Linked DNA regions of Oreochromis niloticus. The main gene of each other region encodes a partner of the protein of the gene in region 2 in a complex. Links are inferred from orthologs where the notes say so. Each region holds a gene or a part of one and is shown on either strand. Other genes may lie near its edges.

Evidence for each region.
Region 1: the proteins of myo3b (region 2) and espn are in contact, whole or in part, in a crystal structure (PDB 5ET1), measured with the Mus musculus proteins. The link is inferred for Oreochromis niloticus from reciprocal best matches to the Homo sapiens genes MYO3B and ESPN. Residues at the interface, in XP_017174528.1 of Mus musculus: Arg1223, Arg1224, Gln1226, Gln1227, Pro1228, Lys1229, Met1230, Leu1231, Ser1232, Ser1233, Asp1236, Thr1237, Met1238, Tyr1239, Tyr1240, Asn1241, Gln1242, Leu1243; in NP_997570.1 of Mus musculus: Leu35, Ala37, His41, Arg45, Ala67, Asn69, Ala71, His75, Asp76, Ala79, Thr80, Asp101, Ser103, Leu110, Arg113, Phe114, Thr135, Thr137, Ala139, His143, Tyr144, Ala147, Thr169, Asn171, Tyr177, Leu178, Gln181, Ala203, Asp205, Met207.

What each region holds. Positions count from the first base shown.
Region 1 is NC_031984.2:24,122,232-24,130,716, forward strand, and holds the start of espn (espin), read left to right. Parts: upstream 1-5,114; 5' UTR 5,115-5,862; coding exon 5,863-6,162; intron 6,163-8,485. UniProt on the Homo sapiens protein: Multifunctional actin-bundling protein. Plays a major role in regulating the organization, dimension, dynamics and signaling capacities of the actin filament-rich microvilli in the mechanosensory and chemosensory cells.
Region 2 is NC_031987.2:16,099,434-16,107,791, forward strand, and holds the start of myo3b (myosin-IIIb), read left to right. Parts: upstream 1-5,202; 5' UTR 5,203-5,339; coding exon 5,340-5,451; intron 5,452-5,533; exon of another isoform or gene 5,534-5,625; coding exon of another isoform or gene 5,626-5,632; intron 5,633-5,752; coding exon 5,753-5,789; intron 5,790-8,358. Other genes in the region: E3 ubiquitin-protein ligase ubr3, read left to right, coding at 38-145, 369-494, 579-758, 1,050-1,259, 1,407-1,546, 1,764-1,881.

The DNA.
Region 1 (8,485 bases), on a different chromosome or scaffold from region 2:
GTGCGCTCAATACAACCTCAGCCATCAGACTGACTACACGGGACTTGATCCACGAGCACAGGATCGGCGTGTCACACGTGGTATGTTTTTCATTTTCAATTTAAACATACCCTTTATGATTATAAAATATATAGATAAATGTTAGATACAGTGTAGTAGTGTGGCTTTTCGTAGGAGATCTCAGCTATTTATAATAACATTTGTCTGCTGCTGTTTTATTATAATGGATGTATATATTTGAGATATTTGGTGTCACTATTTGAAGAAGACTGTGTTGTTTGCGCCGTAGTGTTTGGCCAACAAGCTGACACCTATAACTAAAGCTGTTATAACACGTGACCATGGGGTTTTACAATACTGCAGATTATCATTAACAATGCTTGCAAAGGAACCTGGGAGTCCATCTTTTGAGTTAGTTCAATTATGTTTATCTGCAGCAGAATAATATAACTGAGCTTAACTTTGAAAATAAGCTTTTCTTTTTATTCGACTTTTATCACTAGAGCATCAGAGTGCTGCCAAGGCCTTTTTGATTTTTTTTGCTGCAGATGTTGCATTGTTAAAGCTCCTGTCTTGTCAAATTAGTTGTCCTGTTTCTGTCCGGCACTAATGACCCTGAGTGTGAGAAACTCTGACCGCAGATATTCTCACTGCAGCTCACGGATGACTGGGTCGCTGTGGAGCAGACATCAGGGCTGCAGGGTAAGTTCAAGGGGACACAAGACTTCTACGTTTTGTCTCAAAGGCTGTGAGAACTACAGTAAAGGAAGTTTAAAGAAAGGAACTTTAGCAATATGATGGTAGGACTTGTCATAATGCCTTATGCTTAATATTTCTAAAAGTGCATTGTTCCAGGTATAATAATGCAAATTATTCGATAACCATTACTATGATAAAGAATGCAGATTATCTCTTAGGGTCTTACATGCCTGGAGCTTATTAGTCTGAGAAGAAAAATGTATAATTTTACACAACATCTGTGCTCAACCGCAGATGTTATAGAGTAAAAACTCATTTATATATGTTCAAACTGCAGGTGCACTCATATTTAGATTAAAAATAGGAACATTATAAAGGAATTACATCCTTTATGTCTTTAGAGCACAAATGTTCATATTTTCTAAATATATGTTGTAGCACAGACTTAAGCTGCAGAAAACTGACGTTTTTATCAATATAGGCCTATACAAAAACTTGCAGCTACAAATACAAAAGGTTTGTTGTTAATTTAAATATCTGGAGTATGCTTTATTTCTCATTACTATAATAATTCAATCTATGCATTGTATTAACTTTTTAATGCCTGATATATGGGACGTTATATAAACAATATGCCAGTCAAACCGAGAAAGAAAGAAAGAAAGAAAGAAAGAAAGAAAGAAAGAAAGAAAGAAAGAAAGAAAGAAAGAAAGAAAGAAAGAAGGCGTTTTGGGGATGGGAGAATGGAAAAGAATAAAGTATTTTCCTCGCTTTGTGTGTGTTGGTCTTCTTTCAGCAAATAAAGTTTATTTTTGTCTGGTGTCTTTTTTATGAACAGTAATCTTGCCGCAGTCCTTTTGTGGGTTCTTTTTTATATTAGCCTACATAATTACGTTGTTTATTTGGGAAATTTAGATTTGACACGATGATAATAAAGGCACACCTGTGTCTGTGGTTGAGCATGCCCTGCTGCACACCGGAGGCCCCTTCCCTGCACGCGCCCGAGTTTATCCAATCCAAAGCAATTCCTCTGTGGCACGCGCCGACCAGCAGGCTGGACAGGGAGCTATTACTCTGGCATATAGCCTAGTTATAAACGGGCTTTCAAAACTGCACCTCCTCACACGGAAAACTGAGACTGAAAACTGAATGAATATATGGTGGCTTTAATAAAGATAATAACGCATTTATCTTCAGTAGGTTAAAATGGTCAAGATAAAGTTACATTTTCCAGTATTTAAAGATGAATTTCCCCCTTTTTTCATAAAAAAGAAGTGTACTATCTGTGGCAGTCACTGACCACAGTAAACTCTCACGTCTAGATTATTTTGGGATCTTATTGTGTCAGAAATACTGAATTTTTCGGTTGTTGGGTTACAAGAGGTTGGTCCGAACTTGGTAGAGAATATCTCATTTAAATGTTCCCGCGTAGCAGCAGATGTGAACACACAATAGGTTAGATGGGGCCCACGCTCTGAATAATCGAGTCCAATTTGAATAACTGTCGCACTTCTGACGCGTGCAAGAAATATCCCAGCTTTCCCAGGCTCTGAGGGAGGGGGGAAACCGTTGGCAGCTTCTTTCCAGTTCAATGGGGATTTGGCTCCTCGCTGGTTGAGGTTGTTGGAATGTCTTTTAACAGTCCCTGGGAAAAGACTCCACAATTTCCTACACTTGATTAAACCCTGTGTTAGACCGATAATCAAAAGCTACAGCTGCAGCACAAAAGTACCCCGTCTTTTGCGTCTAGAGTCCACATACCAAAGTGGGAAATAATAAGCCCAAAACAAGGAGATGGATTAGTGTGGCAGTCAAATAATCTATACCGTATTTAATAAACGGGCAATTTAATTTTAGTGAGTAGCTAGAAGTTGAATACTCTCCTATAAAAAGGTCGACAGTTTTTTAAACTGTGGGTTTCGTGATAAATAAAAAATAAACTTTATTCAGATTCAGCTGAGGTTACATTCAGTTGAAGGTCATTATTTTTTCCCTGTGAGTCACAGCAGTGTGTCTGAAAATAAACAAACAGTGGTAGCGTATGGAAATGTGCGAAGATTTAATAGTGCCCATAAAACGACCACAATGTGCTTTGCTTCCGAGCTAACGGACTTGTTCCACATATATGTACTTTAGGCTGAGCTAAAAATCTTCTGGGTTAAATGGCCTCTCCTCCCCCCTCGTTTACCACCATTACTGTCCTCTGTCCTCTGGGGATTTGTAGTTAGCACGCTCGTGGGAATTCCCCCCTCCTCCTCCTTCAAATTGGCGCGCGGTGTCCATGACAGTTGGACCTGTGAGACAGATGGGGCGAAGAGGCACGCGCCGAGCACGAGACTCGCCCATACCCCCCGCCACCACCTCCTCCAAATACTCAGCAGTGAAACCACCCGCATCCCGCAGAAGTTGCCTGAGCGGAAAAATCAATCAACCTAGTCTGGCAGAAAGTTAACCTGGTGTGAAGCTTCATTATTTTTCAACATTTGCTCCACATCTAATCATTTAAATACCCTTTAAGCACACTCTAGTTATAGGCTGTAACTATAGCATGCACAGTCCTATTTGAATCCTGCTCTGGCAGTGTATACCAAGGCTGTATGTTTACAAAGCAGTTAGGGGAGCATATTTCTGAGTTTTGCTTATTTTTAAAGATAAAAATTAAGACTTTCAAATTTGTCGTTTTTTAGATGTTTTATCTGTGTCGTCCGGTGTGCAAGCTTATTTAAATGTGTAATTTTTCAAATAACTTGACGCATGAACACCTGTACCAGGTGGAGATAAGCTGCAGAATACAAGGCTTTCCTGCCACCGTTTGGTGATGAAATGTATTACATTTCGTTGCAATATGTTCATAGAAATACAGACAGCCCGTCTGGATCATTTGCATTGAAACTTGACCTTTGAAACTTTTGTTGAAACTGTCAGTAAGGCGACGTAGAAGATAATCTACACCAACATGTGCTTCTATACCTTATTGAGGTATAGCTGCTAAACGTTTAAAGTAGGTAGCTTTTCCACACTATGGACAAGAGTACTGAACATCTACACATTACACCTACAGGAGCTGCTCAGCCCATGCCATTGAGCTCCCGGTACAGATTTTGTGCTGACTGTAATGCCAGAGCAGGTTCGCAGCCCTGCAGTTATTGGGTCAGTCGAGCTTTGGAGACTTTTACTCAATATGCGCCTCAGTACTCAGCGACCCTACTCCATAACTTTACTTGGTCTGAAACTTTATGTCTTAGTTGCTGAGTTTCCTTCAAATTTGCAGTTAAACCACTTACAGTTAGTTGATCGTTAAACATCTTCCATAGGGGGAAATATCAAAACATTTCAATGGCATCCTATCACTAATCCTGCTCCAGAAAGACCCATTTTTTCACAAATATTTGCAAAGTCAGAGTGCGTGGCTAGGTGCTTGATTACTGAACACACATGAATTCAAAGATGTGTGTGTGTGTGTGTGTGTGTGTGTGTGTGTGTGTGTGCGTGCGTGCGTGCGTGCGTGCGTGTGTGTGTGTGATCAAAAAGGTGTGGCTCAATGCGTTTTCTCCATAAAGTGCACGTAGGTTGGACTTCAGCAGCGTTGGAATACACATTTGCATTCTTATATGTAATGCAATAAATAAATAAAGAAAGAAAGAATAGAATAAAATCATAAATTGCTTTTGCAATCTTGCACTCATTCATTGTGCATTCATTATCATGAATATTTACTTTGTCCAAATGCAAAGAAAAACAAAAAACAGTCCCGTATCTGTGCAACACGTTATAACTTGCCATCAGCATTTTTTTTTCATTAAGGGGATGCTAATTTGAGCTATTTTATTTCATGTTTGGCACCCAAACAATGAAACACACATCACTGGCGTAAGTGCACTAAAATGCATAAACGATCATTAGGCCGCAGGATACGACTACTTCTCATGATTTATCCGGTTTCAATATCACGCATTTATTCCTCAGAAATAACTTGCTCATCTTTTAATGTGGTATCATTTAAGATGTATAACTATTTCCAATTGACGTATTAACATGCGGTCTATAATGACAATCAATATAATTACTTTTTTTTCATCTCAGTGAGGAACCGACTTTTATTGGGACAATATATTGGCTCGGTGCCGAAAAAAAGCAGTATGTGTTCAAGAGTAACATTTGAAAAACTGAGAAAGGAAAAAGCAGGTCTAGTGACAGCTTACCTGTGAATTTCTACAGCCTGGTTATGCGCTCACCCAATAAAAAAAAACAAACAACAACGTTATTTTGGGGGGTGGGGGGGTTAAACTTCTGCGAAAGGCCACTAGATGGACCTCTGGAGTGCAAAAGTATGCTCTGGTCCTGTGATACTGATTTCACTGCCACATGTAATATTAATGCTGTTTGCAAACAGGATCTGGGGTGTGTTCACAAAGTCCATTGCTGAATTAATGTTTCCTTGTGGGTCTATCTTGACTGACAGCGACGAGCACCTTCACCCTAGCAGCATAATTAATGTATATCCAGAGTTGTAAGTAGCATGTACGTACTGCTCCTTTAATTTCTGAGCCGATTTCCAGAAAGCAGCAACCTGTAACAGGCTCAGTGATCCTCCCCCTGATGGATTATTTAACAGGCGCTGAGTCGTCCCATGTCGCCATCTGCTATAGGAAGAAAAACACAGCGGAATATTCCCTGGGGCGCATGATACGCGATAGTTATTCAGCAGCGAAAAAAAGGTTAATAAACTAATGTTTGGGGGAAAGATAGTTTAGACCGGCTGGTAACCCAGAACACAACTTGTGCAACAGGTGGATGCTATTGGAGACAGCAGAAGCGGATAACCTACTGAGCTACAACGTCGGGCCAGACAAAGCCTAAGAAAGAGGTTAGTTTGTCAGTCGGGTATGAAGTTTTACTTCAGCATGTAAATATTGCACTACCTGGAAAAAAACAACTAATGAACGATAAAGGGATCTTGCATTTGAACAGCGCTTTGGGAAGACCCATGGAGCGATAACTGAGCGTCTCTCCCACCACCACCCCACCCCAAAATTAACTAGGCTACTGACATGATCCACTCATTTATAAATACAGCTCTGACCCTATCCGCACTATCTGCACGGTGATCGGGTCAACGGAGTCAACCAAAGGAAGGAAGGAGACGCGCAATCTGCAGCAGTCATGGTGGTGGAGGGTGACAAGACCCTGCTGGCCGCAAGGCAGGGGGACGTGCAGACTTTGAAAGTGCAATTAGCGGCAAATGCGCTGACCAGCGACGTCAAGGATGCGCTGGGAGCTTCGCCCGTCCACCACGCAGCCCGGGCGGGGAAGTTAGCCTGCCTGCGGTTTTTGGTGGAGGAGGCAGGGCTGCCGAGCGATTCTGTGGCAAATAACGGGGCAAGCCCGGCGCACGACGCAGCAGCAACCGGCAACCTGACATGCCTACAGTGGCTACTGACCCAAGGTGGATGTCGGCCAGAGGTGAGTTACTACAGTTGTAGCTGGATCGGTCTAAAAGTGTAGCAGACAGTAGCCTAACTCTGCTTCATCCGACTTGGCTGTCATTTCTCATCTGTGGAGCCTACTCCAACCTCCCTTTGAATCAGCTCTCCTCCTTAAAGCACATTGCATCTATTTTAGTGCCTTAAACCTACACGTTTTTCCTAACATACACATTAAAATCCTTCTCCTTAAGAATAAAGTCCTTAAGCTTTTATTTTAACATAACCTTCTGTGGGGTTTGCGGGTTGTTTTGTGTCACTGTCAGGTATTTTGCTCCCAAGTCCATTTGGTGTGCTCTAAATGTCCTGATGATGTTGTTAATTCTCTTGTAATCTTTAAAGTTTTGACTATAAAAGCAGAAGGTTTAAAAACCCACTGGTGTTTTGAAAAAAACGGACCTTCCCCTTTCACAAGGCACTGAAAGTTGTTTTCATGTTGTTTTGGTAAGGTACTGAAATGCAACAAATTCAAACACTGTTGTAGGTATGAAAGAAATCACATTAAATACCTGCAGTATAGTAAGTACACAGAAAATACTATCAACTATAGGGCACTGGAAATGGTGTACAATTAGACTTTTTCTTTTTTAATTTAAGGCTAAAAACCTAGTTTTCACTGTTATGTCATGTTTCTATGGTAATAAAGTATGCAAAACTGGATTTGCAAATCCAATATCTTCTGTATAGTAAAAACAGTGACTCACAAAAGGCACAAAAAGAAACACATAATGACAGTGTAGTTTGATATTATAATGAGGGGTGGTGTTTGGTGCTGTAAGGACTGAAGTTTCACATGATGAAATAAATCTTATTAACCCTTTTGACCTTTTATTGTTCCTATTTGTGCACATGGTGTTTTCTCACCTGGGAAGGAGTCATAGTAAAAGCTCCAACACAATAACATAATCCATACCATAAGTATTCAGTGGGTTTCTCGTTTTTTCTTATTAGGTAATACATTAAATCTCTCAGCTTTAATTTGTGTAGGTTTCCACCAATACTAAAAAGCCTGTTTGAGGAGTTTTATATCCCTCTTAACACAGTTCTCCGGCAGCTGTGCGTCTTTTTAGTGCTCATGCACATAAGAGCTGATGGAGACTGGTGAGTTGACATTTAGACTCATGTGGAGTTGTCTGCTGATATTAAGAATAAAGTGTTGACAGTGTCACTAAAGAAACCACTGGACCCACAAAACAATGAGACTCAAAAAGCACAACTCTGTCAAAGAGGTATCAAAGATGCCTTGTAAAAATAAAAATTAGACTTCAGTTGAAAAAAATAGGAACACAGGAGCAGAAATCTTGTGAATAAGTGCAAAATCCACTCGAGAATGATCTCAGGGCATATTTTTGCTTTATTTGAATCTCAGACGATTCTTAAATCGATTTGTCTTTTACTATTTAACTCTCAAAATCTGGACACCTCGTAAAGGTTATTCTATATTGATATAATTCTTTTCAAATTGAAGCTGAGCATTGCCTTATGTATAATTTCTCATGAAATACAGATATCCAGATACAGATTTACATTTTGGCATGGTCCTAATTTACAACACTTAAATGTATAAACACATAAAAGTTATTCTTGTATATACTTTGTAGTATACTGCATATTCCTGCATATTCCAGAAAGATACACAGATGTCTATCCGTTGTGCCCTTAATAGGAAATTCAGTTTTAGAGTTTACCAATATGATAATGAAGAGGAGGAGGAGGAGGAGCTTTGCTTGACTCACCCATGGGTCTGATTTATCTTCACCTTCTTGAGCAGAGGTAAAAGCGAAACTGACAAAGTGACAAATCCATATTATGTCTTGAGTACAACACAGTTCTACAACCCAGCAGTATTAAGTTATCCACGTGAAGAACAGTCATAAGCACTCTGTCGTCAAGTGACAAACAGTGCCCACAAATGAACTGACAAGATACTTGACTGGTATGTAGTCAAAGCTCTCAGTTACCACTTGCACTACAGTACACTTGAGTGCTGGCTTTCACTTTTGTTTTCTTTTTTCTTGTTTGTGTTTCAAAACTATTATCATGAGTCTACTTGATGCTAACACCATTAGTCTGTAGCAGTGCACTACCTCAGACCTAAGCATCTGTGTTAGTAAGATGTTAACAGATGACATGTCTGTTCAAGGACCACACAAGTTTGGTCTTTTAGGTTTTCTGTGTTAGCTATTGGTCTGCCTCTTGTTAAAGCTAATTGTTTTATAGCACTGAGAGCAATTCTGTGCTTGATATTCTTGCTACTGTGGTAATTTGTGAAGGTTTTTTATTTATTTCAGAAAATAACAACT
Region 2 (8,358 bases):
TTTTAATGTTTGTCTGCATTTTTATTTTCTTCCACAGAACGCTGCAAATTCTGATAAGTCTTTTGAAGCACTGCTCAGTCATGTTATCAGTGAGCTCTCGAAGGACAAGAGTGTCTACAAGGTGAACTCTGAAGAAGCAACAATGGTGAGACACTAAAATGACTGCTTAGAGCGTGACTGCCTTCAGGATTACACTCTTTCTCCTCTCTGCCTCTTTCGTTTTCTCTTTAACAATAAATTGCCCATTACCGTGAGAGACAGTGTTCTAATATCTCTACTGATCTCTCTAGGGGAGATATACATCACTGTATTATCAGCAAGCTGTTGGCTGATTATTGATCAGGTGTTACTGCTGTTTCCCTCTCCAGCTGAGCTCCAGTGTGTGGTCCCCGCAGTCTATCGAGTTCAGCCTGCAGCAGTTCTGCCTGCCCTTCCTGCGCCTCTCCTGCCTTTTGCAGCACCACCTGTATGGAGACAACCTAACCGGCTGCTTGGTACGATTCATCATAAATGTCATCCTAAATGTTAAAACTGCCCTTTCAGACTAACTGACGGCAAAGTGGTTTGGCTTCTCACAGGAGGAAGAGGAGTTTGCATCCTTGGCTGTGTGTTTAGGGCTTTTGCCCTCCGCCCCTCAGCCTGCCAACACCGTGCAAAGTGCCTCGTGTCTGGAGTGGCCAGTCAACACCTTTGACTTGGTGACGCAGTGGGGCGCTGAGGTCAAAGGGCTCTCTCAGATACATGCTGAGGAGTCACTGGTATGTTTATGAACTTCTCATTTTTAACAGCGTGCAGTCGAGCAAAGCAAGTAAAGGTTTTTTAAAATGCCAATCAAAAAATACTCACATATTCTATAACAAATACTTGGATTTTAATTTAACTTAATGTGCCACATCTGATTCCTGTATTTAAAGTTTAGTTTTAGCCTTTGTTGTACCTCTCACGTGTGTCTAGCTGACCACGTGTCTTGTGGCCTCCTCTTTTGGGTCAAAGTGTAGTAAGGAGATAAAATCAAGTTCATTGCTGGGTGTCTGTCTTCTCCTCCTCAGACCTTGCTGGTCCATGATCCTCAGTGGGCAGCGCCCCGCCTCCTGCAGCTGCCTGACAACTACAATATCATCTTCCAGTACTATCACAGAAAGGCCTGCTCTGCCTGCAAAAAGGTGCCAAAAGACCCCGCGCTCTGCCTTGTTTGCGGCGCTTTCGTCTGTCTCAAAGGCGTGTGCTGCAAGCAGCAGGGTATCTGTGAATGTGTTTTGGTGAGTTTTCCCGGGTTTATAGTTCCATTTTTATCATCTTCAAAGCATTCTCAGTGAGGCCCAGCATGCAGAATTGACATAGCTGCTTGTTGAAGTTGTCAGCTTTTAGCAAACCTTTTTTTGTCCCCCACACTTGTCACTTTGTAGCACTCCCAACATTGTGGCGCTGCGACAGGCATCTTTCTACTGATAAATGCTTCAGTCATCATCATCATCCGTGGACATCGTTTCTGTCTGTGGGGCTCTGTTTACCTTGATGCACACGGAGAGGAAGATCGGGATTTACGGTAAGACGCATAACACCCAGTCATGAAAGACAACAACTGTACACATCTGTCTTCATCACACTTTTTTGTTAATAGATAGTATAGAGTCTTTAGAGCAACTCTTTAAGTACACTCATAACACTTGGTGTGATTCTAGTATGAATTTAAATGTAGTTCCCTTTTTTTTCCCATCCTTGCTGCTCTCACTCTTGTTTTCCCCCCTCTGGCATATTTCCAGTCGTGGCAAGCCTCTCTACTTATGTGAGGAGCGGTATCGAGTGTTGGAGCAACAGTGGGTTTCACACACCTTTGATCACATCAATAAGCGTTGGGGGCCTCATTATAATGGACTCTAAGATCTTCCAAAGTCCACTGAAAAACCACATCCCATGATGGAGAAGATTTTTTTTTTAGGTTTTTCTTTTTTTAGGGATTTTGTTTTCCTTCTGGCTTATGTGTCTGCCTTGATCAAAATAATTGGAAACTCTTGCTGTGATAAACACAAACATCCAGCGAGGGCTATTTCTGCCACAGCCTTGGTTTATGTGAAGTTTGGTGTACAGTCATGCCTAAAGATTTAACACGTGTGTGTGTTCAAGTGATTTATTGTGTGGTTTTTCTACAGGGAAAAACAGAATTTGGTGAGATTAAAGTAAAAAAGTAAAAAAACAACAAAGAAAAAGCGAGGGAGGGGGGGGGGGGGGGGGGGGGGGATTAAAAAAAAAAAAGCACAAATTTGCCCACAAACTGAATTGGTTTGGATCAGGCTTTTAAAGTCTCTCCAGTTTATTTGGTTTAAAAAACAAAACAAAAAATCAATTGCTGATTGTCCCTGCAATGTTTGATTACTTTTACCACCATTTCTGATGTAAACGCATATCCCTATTATTTATCAAAATGTGCTCTGCTGTGCTGGCATGAGTTTCAAGCTCCTGGTAAGTATAGCAATGTTACTGCAGTGTGCACTCATTGTCTGCTGACATGTGATAGGAGGCAGGACAAGTCCACCCATCAACACACTAGAGTTTATTTTGCTAACAAGCAAAGACTCTTTCTTTTATGGGTCTAGTTGCAATCCATCCTCAGGAATTTTTTTGTTTTTTTTTGTTTTTGCTGAAATATGTTTTAGATATTTAAATAAATGCTGCTGCTCATTGTTCAAGTAATTAATTTTAACTTTGAAGAATTTGTTTTTTTTTTGTTTTTTTCCTAAGGTTGTGTTTTGGGTTTACCGTAGATGGTTGGGAATGTTGACTCAAACTCAGTTTAATGGTTAAGGAGGTGTGCGGTCACCAAATTACACCCACTACACTTTTCATAGCATTGGCCTTTTCACACTGTTTAACTCAAAACTCCACCTTTAAGACACTGAGCTGTCTTAAGCCTCATCATCACCGCCCCCGTATAAACCCAAAGTCTAAACATTGAGGGAAGGCAAAGAGATCTCACCGCGCATCTGGTGTCCTGAGCGTCATGCAAGAGCAAAAATGCTACATCAGTTCTGTCAGAGTGTTCTCTCGAGGTATGAAACTCGGTGGGAGTTGTGTTGCTTCTGTGAGGAGACTGCAGTACTTGTCACTCGTCTTTCTGTGCCATCAGAAAAAGGCTTTCCCTTTACGCTTCTGATTGCCAGGTCATAAACTGCAGTACAGAACATTTATTATTATTATTATCATTATTATTATTATTATTATTATTAACAACTATCTGTTATACATCATGCACCATGTAGTTGTGATTTATAGTTGCATTCCAACATTGCAAGACTATCAGACTTGAGTATCCGTTATACACTGTGCATGACATCCTTTAAGCCACCATTATTTAAGTGTCTTAGCTACTTCATTTTTTGATTATCATCTTTTTTTTTTTCCCTGGAAGAGAAGTTTCATCCAGCCGTGCCTGCAAGATTAAGGGGGCCTATTATGCTTATTTCCAGCTCCATGATTTTAAATGAGACTTCATTAGAGAAACTTTGCTTCTTCACAGTTCACAAGAACATAAAAAGCCCCTTATTTATTATCATTTCTTCTTCTTCTTCTTCTTCTTTAAAATGCCTCTTCAAGCCTCTGTCAGCCTAAAAGCTCACTTTCTTCTGATTGGCTGCCCTTTGCCTGGTGTCCAAAAAAACTAAACCTAGTGCTTGTAAGCTCCGCCTCCTCATCTCACATTCAAAACTGCAGTTCGGCACAAGAGTTGGGAAAACTGTTGTGAACTGAGCAGCTTCAAGGAATTAGCTGTTATTGGCGTCCATCAATGAGCCAGTTTATTTGTAAATGACAGAAAAAGAGAAAAGGCATAATAGGACCCCCCCTTTTTTTTTTAATGCTTACTTACAGTGATCAGCACACAGCTGATATTCCTGATGTCTGGTTTTGAAATGCTGGGTCACATTGTGCTGCATCGCAGAATCTCTAAGGAACAAGTCAACACTTGAAAAACTTCCTCTTGAATTCATGCATGCTGCTTTTGTGTTTTCTCCTGTCTCTTTTATTTTTGTTGTACCCACTTTGTTAATGACCGCAACCAAATAGCCAACGATGGGTGTAAATTGTAACTGAAAGCTTTTGTGTGTTTTCCTGTATGAATGGGGAGAGAATACAGTACATTACTGTAGGTGCTGACTCAAACTTTCTGAGTTTGACCAGAAAGTGTGACTTGGGACATTTAATGCAAAATGTAACATATGTGAATAAAATATAAACACAATGATTTTGTGTCTTTTTTCTTCTTTATGATCATCTTGAACATGAGAGTGATTTCTCTGTACTGGATCTCAATCCAACAGAGCACCTTTGGGATGTGATAGAACAGGAGATTCAAATTAATGATATGTAGTTTAAAAAAAATCTGCAGCCACTCTGCCAGATGCTATCATGTCAGTATGGTCCAAAATCTGTTCTGTTTCCAGAACCTCGTTGAGTTTGTGCCTTGAAGACACATGAAGAGAAGGTCCAACCTGTTACTAGGAAGGTGTGTCACAATGTGTGCATCTACACATCATCAAATATAAGTGACAGGACTAAATTTTCAGCAGACATAACACAAAACTCTAATCAGAGGACTCTAATCTTCCCTAGTAATGATTAAATTAAAGAAAAATATTAAAGTTTTTATCTAATCTTGGCTTACGTCGGTCTTTTTTCACTATTGTGACTTCTAGAGGTAATGTGAATGTTATGACACGTACACCTCTGAGGCTGAACAGCAAATTCTGGAGATACTCATTCAGACTTCACTGTATTATTCCTGCTGTGAGAGGATGCTCCCATCTGGTAGCGCCTTCTCTGGGAGTAGACTGATTTGCAATAATGTTTAGCTAACATTCCCACAGGAAGATTACATTGCAAAGAAATGATGAATGTTATTTACTGTGCTGAGTGAAGAAGCGGTGACTGGTCATTGTGCACCTCAAAATGAAAACTGCAGGTCTTTGGGCCATTGGTGCTCAAATCTGAGGAGGCAGAGTCAGACAGATCTGGTCAAGTTTTCAACAAAGGCAAGAATAGAGGTGCTACAAAAAAAGTTGAATATATTTTAAAATCCAGTACTCAACCATTATCATTATAAAAAAGGAAAACTACAATGCAATTGGAAACAAGTAGCCGTCTGTGCTGGTTTCTCCTTGCACTGCTCCATCTAGTCTCCGGCCCAGTGCTCTGAAAAAGAGGTTTCATTGCCATGTGACTGAGCAGGATAATTGGTCTGAGGCCCTCTGGGTAAAGACCAATGGTCACACAAAGGCTTTGTTTGCTACCAATTAGGCCAAAAGGAAGTAAGAAAAAAAAGTAATCTGCACAGGCTGGGAGTTTTTATGAAGGACACAGCTGAGACCGTGTCACCAGTGTCAGGCTGGGAGATGCTACTGTTACAGACCGTCCTCCGGGGGGCATCACTCGACATCTCCTTCTTTTCCCCCCACGCAGGTAAGTAAAACGCTGCTCCCCAGAGCATGAATAGACTATTCAAGGTTACATCAGGTGATACTGGTCAGCCAGTTAACCGCTTCCGGTCTGCAGGACAACATGCTCAGGTGTCCATACTGTTAATAATTAAAGTCTTTGCTGAATAAACAGGGAAATTACTTCGCATATGTTGCTATGGACGGTAAGCTGGGTCTAAAGAGTTGATTCAGACAGTGTGCTTTAGGCCTTTATTAAACTCACACGGAGATGGAGATGCAGCTGTGCAGTGATGCTCTGTCTTAAACAGTTTCCTCTTTTGCAGATGACAGAGATGAAAATACTGAGGCGACAATGTCGAGGTAGGTAACGAGACTCCTCATCTGTAGCTCTGCTAAAAAGAAAATGCACAGCCCTAAACCTTAAATCTGGATATCTTTAATCACTGTGTCAGTTTGGTTTTACTGTACTCTGTGAAATACTGTAAACCAGCAATCATTCAGTGAAGAAACCGGAAGTTAGATGAAAAAAAAAGTTAAATAGGCTACATTATGATAGTTATGCAAAAATCGCAATATATACAACATTTTTGTGTTTTACAATCACTTTAGCTTAAAATGCTCATTTTTTTCTTTTTTTTCTCTTTGTCTCTGTTCATTACCACAGTGGATTTAAGGCAAAAATAATAATGATGTGAAATGTACACTTCCATCTTTAGTACAGAAGCTTCATCACACTCTGAATTTCCTTCTTTTATAGGCTTTGCCAGACCTACACCACCTTCAGTTTTTCTTTACTTAGTGAAAGACGTGGTCAGGTGACTGACTCTGATGTTTAAGAGTATTCTCTTTATTGGCATTAAGAAGCATTGGGCTTGAGCAGAGGTCCATGCATTTAAGAAGCTGTCCTGCTTCTAGTCAATAAACATCAGTGACCCAGTTCAGTCGGCAGCCAAACAGGCCCATGCTGCCACACCACCTCCTCTGTGTTTTCAAGGGGTCTGTTTTGGATCACAAGCCCGTTTGAGTCTTGTTTTCCCATCATTGTGTACAAGTTTCATTGGTCCAAAGAATTTCTTTTAGAACTTGATGTTTTCCAGCGACTATTTTGGCATGTTGTTTGCATCTCTTTAATTGTAGACTTTCACAATAAATACACCAAAAGCCTCAGAACTGCTGTTGATTTGGTTAGATGCTGTGAAGTGGTTTTCCAAGTAAAAGATTCTGTAATCACCCTCTTTACTGCATTGTTGATTTGGCCACTTCTGAAGCTTCCTGTCTCTCTGATAGGTCCGTTTGGTATTTTTCTGCCTTATGGTAGCCTTCTTTAGCCTTCTTTACTTAGTCTGATGCCTCTTATTGTCTCTATGTTATGAATTCTCATTCTCAACAGCTGCCAAACTTAAACAATTGGAATCAACTCCAGACTTTATATGCCAATAATGTGGAAACAGACTACACATGGCTTAAAGCTGCATGTAAACCTGTTTCTTAAACCCCTTGAATTAAAGTTTAAAGTGTACAATTAAATCACTTGCTGATTACATCATGTGTTGGTGTCCATACACAACACTGTGTGAAACACTTAAAGACCTGACTTTAGGTAATACATTATTAGAGTAACACTAAAGAAAAAAGCAATGGGTCACCTACACATTACATCAACAGGAGCTGCTTGGCCATGAAGCTCCCAGCACACAGTTTTGGTGCTGATGTTAATGCCAAATGAGTACAGAGCTATGGAGTCATCAGAGCATTGGCAACTTTTACACACTGTCCGCCTCACTCAACCCCTGTAAACTTTACGTGGTTTGCTTGTCATGCCTACATGTTTTCCACTTTGCAGTAATATCGCGTACAATAGATCAATTGAATATCTAGGAGGGAAGAAATTTCACAAACTGACTGACGATTGACCAAAACAAATGTACGAACAAAAAATTGCTTCCCTGCTACGATTGCAGATGCTTTTTCATTCAGTTATGTTGCATTTAAATGGTAGCACTGCCATACTCACATCCATCACAGTGACACAGCTGTGGTGTTTGTGATTATATGACTGAGGTTAATTTATAATTAATTATAAATAAGAAATTATAATTCATTTAAGACTGATTACTTAGATGATGATGGTGCCTTTTTGTTAATACGGTTGATGCTTTGTGTATCCAAAGATGTCAATCAGGGATCATTAATCATGCAGGTGCACCGCTAAGATTAAAGATGTTAATGTTTAAAATAAATGCATTTGTCTCTGCTCATGTGAGGCTTTGGCCTTTCAGGGTGAGAACAAGGGCGAAATGCTTCAGGCCTGACTCATGGCTAGTGGAGGTTTACCGTAAAGCCTCTTCATATCCCCTTAAAAGGGATTATTGGTTTTTTTCCCCTCTCCATAGACTTACCAAAGGGGTTTACCCAGCGGACTTCCCATAAGGCTCTGCCACAGAGGGTGGAATTGTGCGAGTTTGATGGAAGCAGAAAATTAGATTACTGCCTTTCACTCTGTACTGTTTCTGGTGACAAAGATGTGCTGCAGCCGGTCACGTCACGTACAGCTGTTACCGCCTCAGACCTAGACTTAGCATTATGTAGATGCACAGAAAATGTGCCCGATGAGCAAAGGCAGAGCAGGGTAGTTATTCCAAATATGATCACCGTGATACTATGTACATATTCCTGTTTTGTAACAGAAAATACCGTGTACCACTGTGTATCAGACACAGCATCCCTTTTTTCAGCTGTGCTGATAAGAATAGTAAACAAAGGGTAACCTGAGCACTGCAATCGAAGAGCAGCGGTGTCCTGTTCTTAAGCGCTATTTCACTGCATCTCCTGCCCATTTAAAGAGAAGTGTTTGGAAATTCTTGTTGCCTTCTAGCAGTAAAAAAGAGCTCGAACAAGTCTGTATCACTTAGCACACATGTCAAGTTGA